2 linked regions of the Mus musculus genome follow. The protein of the gene in region 1 binds, or shares a complex with, the protein of each later gene. Links are inferred from orthologs where the notes say so. Each region holds a gene or a part of one and is shown in the gene's direction. Other genes may lie near its edges.

Region 1 (4,110 bases):
CCAATTCCTTTTCCCTCCAGAAGGTTCTGCACGGCCCACAAGTCTTAAGAAAACCCGCAACGTGTCAAAGCCCGCGGCCACAGCGCCGTTCCCGGATCTGGAGGAGCACCTTCAGGTGGCTCGGTGGTGCGCTCCCGGGAAGAGGCCCCCGGGCGCCTCATTCCTCCTCCCCGTGATCTCAGGCGGTGCACACACGTGAAACCGTGGACTCGCGCCCTTGCCTCCGTCGGCCCTTCAGCCCGCCAACAGCCGGCCTAGCCTCCGCCCCCCTCCGGGAGCCGCGGGACCGGGGAAGCCCGGCCATGACCCTCCGCCCGGGCTTCGCGCGCGTCTCTTCCCCGCAGCGCTCTCCCTGTCCATCGACCCACGCCCCTCTCCTGGGCCCCGGCCGCCGGGGTCCCCCCCACACCCCCGCCAGCTGCCCTTCCTCACCCTTTCATCTTCCCCGTCTGCTGAGGCCGTCGTTACAGCCGCCGCCAACGCCGTCGTCCTCGTCGCCCGGAGCTCTCCGCCCGCGCCCTGAGCTCAGACCACTCAACCCCACACGCCGGTCTTTTGGCTGAGAAGCCAAGCCAGGCCCTGAGGCTCCGGGAGACGCGGGGAAATCTGCCGCCGCGCTGCCGCCGCCGCCGCTCCTCCACACGTGCACTCGGGACACTCGGCTCCCGCCCGCAGCTGCCGCCAGCCAGACCCGCCGCCGCGCTGTGACCTTTCACCCCGCCCCTCAACGCGCCGGCGCGGCCGCCGCGTCGCGCGCAGGCGCAGTGCTCCGCGCCGCCAGGATTCCCCGCCCCCCGCTCTCCAGGGGCCGGGCCTACGGCCCGCTAGCTCCTCCCACCCTTTGCGACACTCTCTAGGGGATCTGGCTTGGTAGGCTCCGGCGGCAAAATCCGGATCTTTCCACCCTTCTCTCGCTTTCAAGCCAGCAGGATCAGCCTTTCCCGCCCCCCACCCCGATTCCTTTCTAGCCCTCCAGTGACCTTCAAACCCTCTGGCCGACTAATAGGGTTTTGTAAAACGGATTCTTCTCAATGTAAGAAAGCCCATGGGAACTTGCAGTAAATGTGTTTTAAATTCAAAAGGTAGTGATGGGTCCGGATAACTTGGCGATCCTCCAGCAGGCAAACCTCACAGGGTTTTTTTTTTTTTAAATCACGTGATAGGCTTAACGTCTTCCAGCCCAGGATTTTACTGGGGCCTTAGAGGCGGGACTCATGGCCATTTCCGGTCCCTAGAGCGTGACTTAGCGTCACTTCCTTAGCAATGCACTTTAACCCTTGCCATCCTCGTCTTCTGTACTGTAGTTTCTGTAACCCCCGTCATTGTAAAAAAAAAAAGAAAAAGAAAAGAAAAAGAAACTAACGCTTTTCTGAAGTCGCGGAACCATTCACATCCAAGGCGGTCCGCAAAGATTTAAGCCTGCGAGACGCGGCGTGACGGGCGAGGGGAAGCGGGGTGGGGCTTGAGGACACATGACTAGCTAGGACTGGCCCGCCTCCTGCAGCTGAAGACTTCCCCTCTCTCAGTGACAGAGCCTCTGGGTCCCGTCTAGGTACACTTTCTGCATTTCGAGCCCGGGCAGGTGAGGTGCGACAGGTAACTCGTGGCTGGTGGGGACGATTGACAGGGTGAGAGCAGATAGGGTGTGTGAATCGCGGCCTGCGGATGCTTGGGGCTCCCTTTCCGTTGTCCTCCTGCACGGGCGAGGAGCTCATTTCTGCTAGACCCCTGGCCCTTCACCATCACCGTGGTCCATTGACTAGGGATTATGATGCCCACCTTTTCCCTGGGTTGAGAGCGAGTACGGCCATTATGGTTCCCTATTTGGAGCCTTTGGGGCTGATTCAGGTGGTAGGATTGTGTTAGCTATTTCTTGGGGGTCTGCAACAACCGACGGATCCCATTCCCCTAAACTCCTTCCTTGGGAAAGGCCATGGCCCGGGTGATCCGGATGGTAGGAAAACCCCGGGAGGCAGAGGCGTCTCCGGTGAGACAGGCTTGGGAGGGGATGTCACTGAGATGGCCCTCACTGCAGAGTCACACTGAAGGGCTTTCCCCACAAATGTGCGTTCTCAGTGATCCTAAGGGTTTGCCGACATCCTTGCAGAGGTTCAGGGAGTCTTCAGATGAGACTGGAAGGGTAAGAGCGGGCCTTACACCTTTTTTTTCGGAGAGAAGGTGGTTGTACTCTCCTCAGAACAGGGTGTTGGTAATGCGACAGTCTCGGTTGGTTGGGAAGGTGATGAAAGGTGGTGTTGCCTTGTTGGGCTGGAGACCCAGACTAGCTTATGGGAAAGTGACGAGGTTTTCCCGAAGGGGAAGTAATTTTACGGAAACTGATCAGGCTGAAAACATCATTAATCCAAATCCATGTGTGTATAGTTTAAAGACTAGAAGATCGAGTCTAGACATTACTGACTTCATGTTTTCTGCCTGTGGGTCATTCCTTTTTGACATTTCTTTTAAGTCCTACATAATTGCCCTTCCCAGTCAGTTTAAAATTTGTGAAGTAATGCTTGTGCTCTTAATTCGCTTTTGCATTTGTTAAAAAATTCAAGTGACCCTTCTCAGACTTGAGAGTGCATAATATTTTGTGAAAATACAGAAATGGTTTTGCCTAGGGTTACCCAACCCTTTGTACTCCATTTTATGTGCACCGTAGTAGCCAATGTTTAAACCTCAAACAATGTACTTGACTGAAGGAATGTTCTTCAGTTTGGGGCTAAACTCTTTTATTTGTGCTACAAACTTAGAACGTTCCTTGTTTTGAAGCCGAAGGCCTTACAAAATCACAGATTTGACTTTTATAACCCAAATGATACATTTTCTTAGGGGAAATAAGATTTTCAGTTAAATCTTAGTTCTCTGCAATGTAATTGAGGAATCTGTTTTAAACTCTGCTGGGGGCTCGGGGATATGGTTCTTGCTTCCATGTAAGCTTGGTGTACTGGGTCCAACCCTCATACTAGAAAGAAAAAAAAATAGGAAAAAGATGGAATGATTATCTTACATTGATTGGTGCTCCCCCCCCCCCCTTTCCAGATTTTCTTATTTTTGAGAGCTAAAAGCTAAAACCTTAAACTCATAACGATTTAACAAGATAAAAAGACTGGCCTAAGCCAGTCGTAGTGGTGCATGCCTTTAATCCCAGCACTCGGGAGGCAGAGGCAGGCGGATTTCTGAGTTCGAGGCCAGCCTGGTCTACAAAGTGAGTTTCTGGACAGCCAGAGCTATATAGAGAAACCCTGTCTCAAAAAACCAAAACAAACAAACAAACAAAAAACAAAAAAGAAAGACTGGCCTATTTGATACTTTTTACTACAATATTGCCCAAGTGATTTTGCATTGCCCACATTACCGTTTGTGCTTGTGATCCAGACTAGACAATAGGAATTGATCTGTTTATATAACAAGCATAAATATAGATTCTTAAAGAGTTCATTCTTTTCATTGCTAATCATTATTCTGTGGTATGGATGGCACCACAGTTGGTTGAACCATTCACTTGTTGACACAAACCTTTTTGTTTGTGTCTGTGTTCCTGCACTTAGAGGCCAGAGGTGCCTTCCTCTGTTGCTCTCCTCACCTCAACCCCCCTTCTTTTGAGGTAGGTTCTCTCACTGAACCTGGACTCACTGATTCTGGGAGCCTAGCTGTCCATTAAACCCCAGGGATCCTTCTGTCTTTTGCCCTGAGCACCCAGGTTAAAGGGACAGTACTACACTTCTACAGAGCACTGGGTAGCTGAACTCAGATTTTCATACTTGCGAAACATGCAGTTTCACGACTGAGTCATCTCCTCAGCTTGAAATATAATTTTATCCATCGTTTTTCTCTAAAGTGAGGTTCTCTGATCTCTCCGGAGAGAAAAAAATTTGGCTCTGCTTTCACGCCCATGTGACATTCCACCAAATAAACAGAATTCCTAAGTGTTTTAAAAGTCCAGACCAGTTCTGTGCAGGTGCGCCAAACTGGGCTAGAGGAAACCAGTTTGAAAGCACTGAGAATTTGTGGAGGAGAAAGAAGTTCATAAGAAAGAGGCTCAATGAGTCTGCAGTTTTACTTCACAGTTAATTGCTCCATTTTAGGGAACTCAGTAACTTAAACTTC
Region 2 (4,014 bases), on another chromosome or scaffold:
AAACTCCAGTTTTATTTTCGCAGTTACCCAAACAGGGCAAATAACTTCAACAGCTGATTTTAAATTCCAGGAATTCACTCATACAGAAATGCACAGCTAGAGCGAAAACTTAACGACCTCAACACTAATAGTTCCATTTTGGACTTTTTTTTAACTTAAATATGGTGGTTTATCCTATTGTTTCTTTGGCGAAAAGTTCAGTCTCCACAGAGAGAAAAGTTTTGGCAGTATCTTGGGGCTGAAAAGAAGGATAAAAGAAAGAAAAAAAAAAAAAGCCCAAATTCTCCGGTCCGGTAAAAGCAATCGTCTTGAACTAGGAGTGGGACTGGAGTCGAGGGTTCTCCAGAGGCCTCCCCACCACAAGACATCTTTAAGGAGGCTGTAAAAATCTACTTGGCCCACGTTCCTTCAGGGGTTCCTCCGCCCGTCCAGCCACGTTTCTGGCTCGCAGGAGCAGACACCGGCTGGCGAGAGGGCGCAGGAAATCACCAGCGGGCGGTGGCGACGGGGTCCAGACACTTCCCGCGCAAGAACGGGAAAGGGGGGGTAGCCCGGGGCCTAGCCGCACTGGACAAAACCAAGGCGAATCCTCGGGGAGAGCAAGCTGCGGGGCCGGTCACCTGAAGTGGATGTGTGAATCCCGAAGTAGGGTCCCACGCCGTGCTGCTTAGTGGCAACGAGGAGACTCGGAACACCAACCCCGGACGCCGAAGCTCCTCAGCGTGCGCTTCGCCCAACCCAGCGCGCATGCGGAGCCACCTCTCACTGCGCAGGCGCCGACAGAAAAGGATCCTTCGTTGCCACTAACCATAGAGTCTTGGTCCTCCTAATATGGGCGGTGTGAACCAAGGGACGAGCTGAAGAGTCACTGCCCCTGGTATTTATAGATTTTTTTGCGGAGGGAACTTGCTAGGTTTAAAGGAGAGGTAAGTTTCTGTTTCTTGCTCCAGGATGATCGCTTTAAGTTTTAGTCAACCAAGAGAGGGCGCTGTGACGAATGGCGGAAAGCCGAGGAAGAGGAGGAGCGTGATCCTCTCCTGACCCATCCCTCAGAGCGTGCTGGGTGCCGGCGACTCGCCGGAGGGAGGGGCGGTGGAGAGACCCGGAATTCCGGACTGTGCGCGCTTCCACATCCGGGCATTCCGTCTCCTCCCCCTCCCTCAGTCCTCGCCCAACAGGAACCGGAAGTGGGAACCGGTTTCCTGGTTGCCTCTTAGCAACGCAGTTGTCAAGTGACCCGGTCAGCTGACTCCCGTGGAGGCGGGCACTGGGGTAACCGGTTCTGGAGGTGTTGCGGTCCCGATTGTCTCGCCGGGGGGCCCGAGCCGAGTCACCGTCAGGATGTCGGGCAAAGACCGGATTGAAATCTTCCCTTCGCGAATGTAAGTTAAAGACTAGGACAAGCGACAACCGTGTTCAGGCACATCTTCCCGGCGCGCATTCCTGCGTACCCTTGGCCACCAGCAAGGTTCCTTGGTTTCTGGGTCGCTCCTTGAGCTTTCCCCAGGGTCTTCGTTTCCTCTGAGTTCCGAGCGAGGTTTCTTTCCAACGCTCCCCTCCCCTGCTGTTTCTGAGAGAAGAGGCCGGAGAAAGTGGTTCCAGTCCACAGGAAAAGGGGGTTCACCTGCTGGCAGCTTTTGGAGGTCGATGCCTTTACTCACTCATTCCGCACACCCTTTGAGCCACACACGGAGTTTACATAACTGAGCCGTCGGCGCCATCTCTACCTCCCAGGGCTCATCATTGCTGAGGATTGAGATGTAGACGCTGAGGTCTGACCAAAGCTCCCAGACGGGAAGTTATGTGACAGGGAAGCAGCTAGAAGGCCCCTCAGCCAAAGTGACATTGAATGTGTCACCCTCTCGCAGCTGTAGGTTTCAGTCTTGGATCCCGTCAAGTGTTATTTGCTGTGGGAAGATATCCCTGCATTTCTGAGGTATTCCTATAGCCCTGTGATGACTGCACTCTTTACGTCTAGCAAGTGTCACTCATGACACTGTCACGCGGGTATTTATTTGGGCTGTCTCCTGGATGAAGGAGGCATCTTTTTAATGCATAGAAGGTCCACAGAAAATTGTTCCTTGAACCCTTGCTTGGGATGTGCTCAGTTACAGGCCGCCTTTCTGCTTTGGGTTAACATCCTTGTTAGGAGAAGTGATGAAGTGAAAACTTGAAGTTTTCTCAAATACATATAATAACTTGTGGAAAGAAAAGGGTATTTGTGCTCTCATCTTCAATTGTTCCTGAAGAAGGAAATCAGTTTTTATTCTGATAATTAGGTCTCTCACTGTGGTCCTGTTTTGGGGCCTGTTTAGGGTTTTGCGTGTGTGTGTGTGTGTGTGTGTGTGTGTGTGTGTGTGTGTGTGAGAGAGAGAGAGAGAGAGAGACAGACTGTATTGTTTACCTTATCCTATGCCTTTTTACTTATAGACCCAAGGACTCTTAAATAGTTTCATTTAAACCACAGAATGAGTTTCTGTCTCTGCCAGGGTATATGTAGCTCTGAGTGAATGAAAGGGTTTAATTATTTAAAAACAAAACAAAACACTTTTAACCTTCTCCCCAATGGCTTTGAAATGGCAAGTTATACTAACTGTACAAACCTGCCAGCTGTGGGGAAGTGCAGTGCTCGTGAAACAGCTAAAGATCAGGACGACCCTAGGGTGATCCCAAAGCCAGCATGTAATGGCCCCATCCAAACTTTACTGAGACATCCGATTCCAGGGTGGCTTCTGGAAACACAAGGACATATCCTAGGATGACCACAGTTCTCCTCCCCACTCCCCAGCCACTAGCCCCAACTGTAATGCCACTGAGTAATATCTCAGAGGCAGAGCTCTTGCCTGGCATACAAAAGGCCCTGGGTTGAATCCCCAGCACCTAAAAGTAGAAATAACCATGCCTGCCTCAAACAAACAAAACTCAAAGCCCATAGGAGAACTAAATACTGGTTTTAGCTGACATCTGATTGATAGATCCTAGACCTCTCTTTGAAAGAAAAAGGGTTTTTAATTGAATATATAGTTTATCTAACTCATAAATGTGTCAGGGATCTGAGAGAACCCTTCTTCGTAAGGTAATCAACCAGGACAGGGTCTCTGTGTCTCTGTGGGAGGCTAGAATCCTGACTTCTGTTCCTGTCAGAGAGCAGGCACAGTTGACACAGCCACAGGTGGACTTTCCCTTTTCTGAGCCTGCCTGAGTGCAACTCATGCTCTTTAAAGTGCCCAGGCACACCTGTGTGAGCCAGAATGGCGCTCACCTTTTTGCTTTGCTGCTAGTGGTCTTACTGTTATAAATAATGTCTGGCCATATTTAATCACTATTTGTAATGCTGGTATGTTTTTATTTTTATTTTGGGACTTTTAATTTAAGACTACAAGGTGAAAAATGGGCTTCTTTGGGCTCAGACAGGAGAAATGATAGGTTTTTTTTGGGGGGGGGGTTGGGTTTTTTGAGACAGGGTTTTTCTGTATAGCCCTGGCTGTCCTGGAACTCACTCTGTAGACCAGGCTGGCCTCGAACTCAGAAATCCGCCTGCCTCCACCTCCCAAGTGCTGGGATTAAAGGCGTGCGCCACCACGCCCGGCTCGAAACGATAGGTTTGTGATCCTGAAAACTGTTATTTGAGAGCACTCTGCTTGCTAGCTGAGAGGAAGTCAGGGGTGGGAAGTAAATATTTTCCCCAAAGCCTGACAGCAGGTTCTTTGTCATATAGTCAGATGTCTTTGATTCAACGGGAGACAAAGTCAATGTTTTAGTTGAAGGTCAAACTTCTTGTTTCTTTGTTTTTTTTTTTTTTGTTTTTTGTTTTTTTTTTTAGGGCTAAGCAGCTTTGAAACAGAAAAGAGCAGGTTCAACAGCTGCCGTGGTCCAGATCACACAGTACTGGTTTTGGTTTCTCCTTCATTCGCTTGGTAGTATTGTCCTGTGGAATGTTGCTTTCATTTCATGTATCACCAGAGAACATGAAACAAGTCTGGATGGAAACAAAGGAGGTCCAAAAGGGATGTG

Evidence for each region. Proteins that work in one complex are often made in the same cells at the same time.
Region 2: the proteins of Atp6v1a (region 1) and Atp6v1d are in contact, whole or in part, in a cryo-EM structure (PDB 9B8P), measured with the Rattus norvegicus proteins. The link is inferred for Mus musculus from reciprocal best matches to the Homo sapiens genes ATP6V1A and ATP6V1D. Residues at the interface, in NP_001101788.1 of Rattus norvegicus: Ala366, Met368, Pro369, Ala370, Asp371, Ser372, Asp416, Ser418, Asp436, Lys438, Glu491, Gln494, Leu495, Val496; in NP_955418.1 of Rattus norvegicus: Lys4, Asp5, Arg6, Arg167, Ala171, Val175, Ile176, Arg179, Tyr186, Glu190, Arg194, Glu197, Tyr200, Arg201, Lys204, Ile205, Lys208.

What each region holds. Positions count from the first base shown.
Region 1 is NC_000082.6:44,136,434-44,140,543, reverse strand, and holds the start of Atp6v1a (V-type proton ATPase catalytic subunit A), read left to right. Parts: upstream 1-1,284; 5' UTR 1,285-1,582; exon of another isoform or gene 1,583-1,596; intron 1,597-4,110. Other genes in the region: Naa50 (N-alpha-acetyltransferase 50), read right to left, coding at 433-440. UniProt on the Homo sapiens protein: Catalytic subunit of the V1 complex of vacuolar(H+)-ATPase (V-ATPase), a multisubunit enzyme composed of a peripheral complex (V1) that hydrolyzes ATP and a membrane integral complex (V0) that translocates protons.
Region 2 is NC_000078.6:78,858,787-78,862,800, reverse strand, and holds the start of Atp6v1d (V-type proton ATPase subunit D), read left to right. Parts: upstream 1-1,162; 5' UTR 1,163-1,341; coding exon 1,342-1,382; intron 1,383-4,014. UniProt on the Homo sapiens protein: Subunit of the V1 complex of vacuolar(H+)-ATPase (V-ATPase), a multisubunit enzyme composed of a peripheral complex (V1) that hydrolyzes ATP and a membrane integral complex (V0) that translocates protons.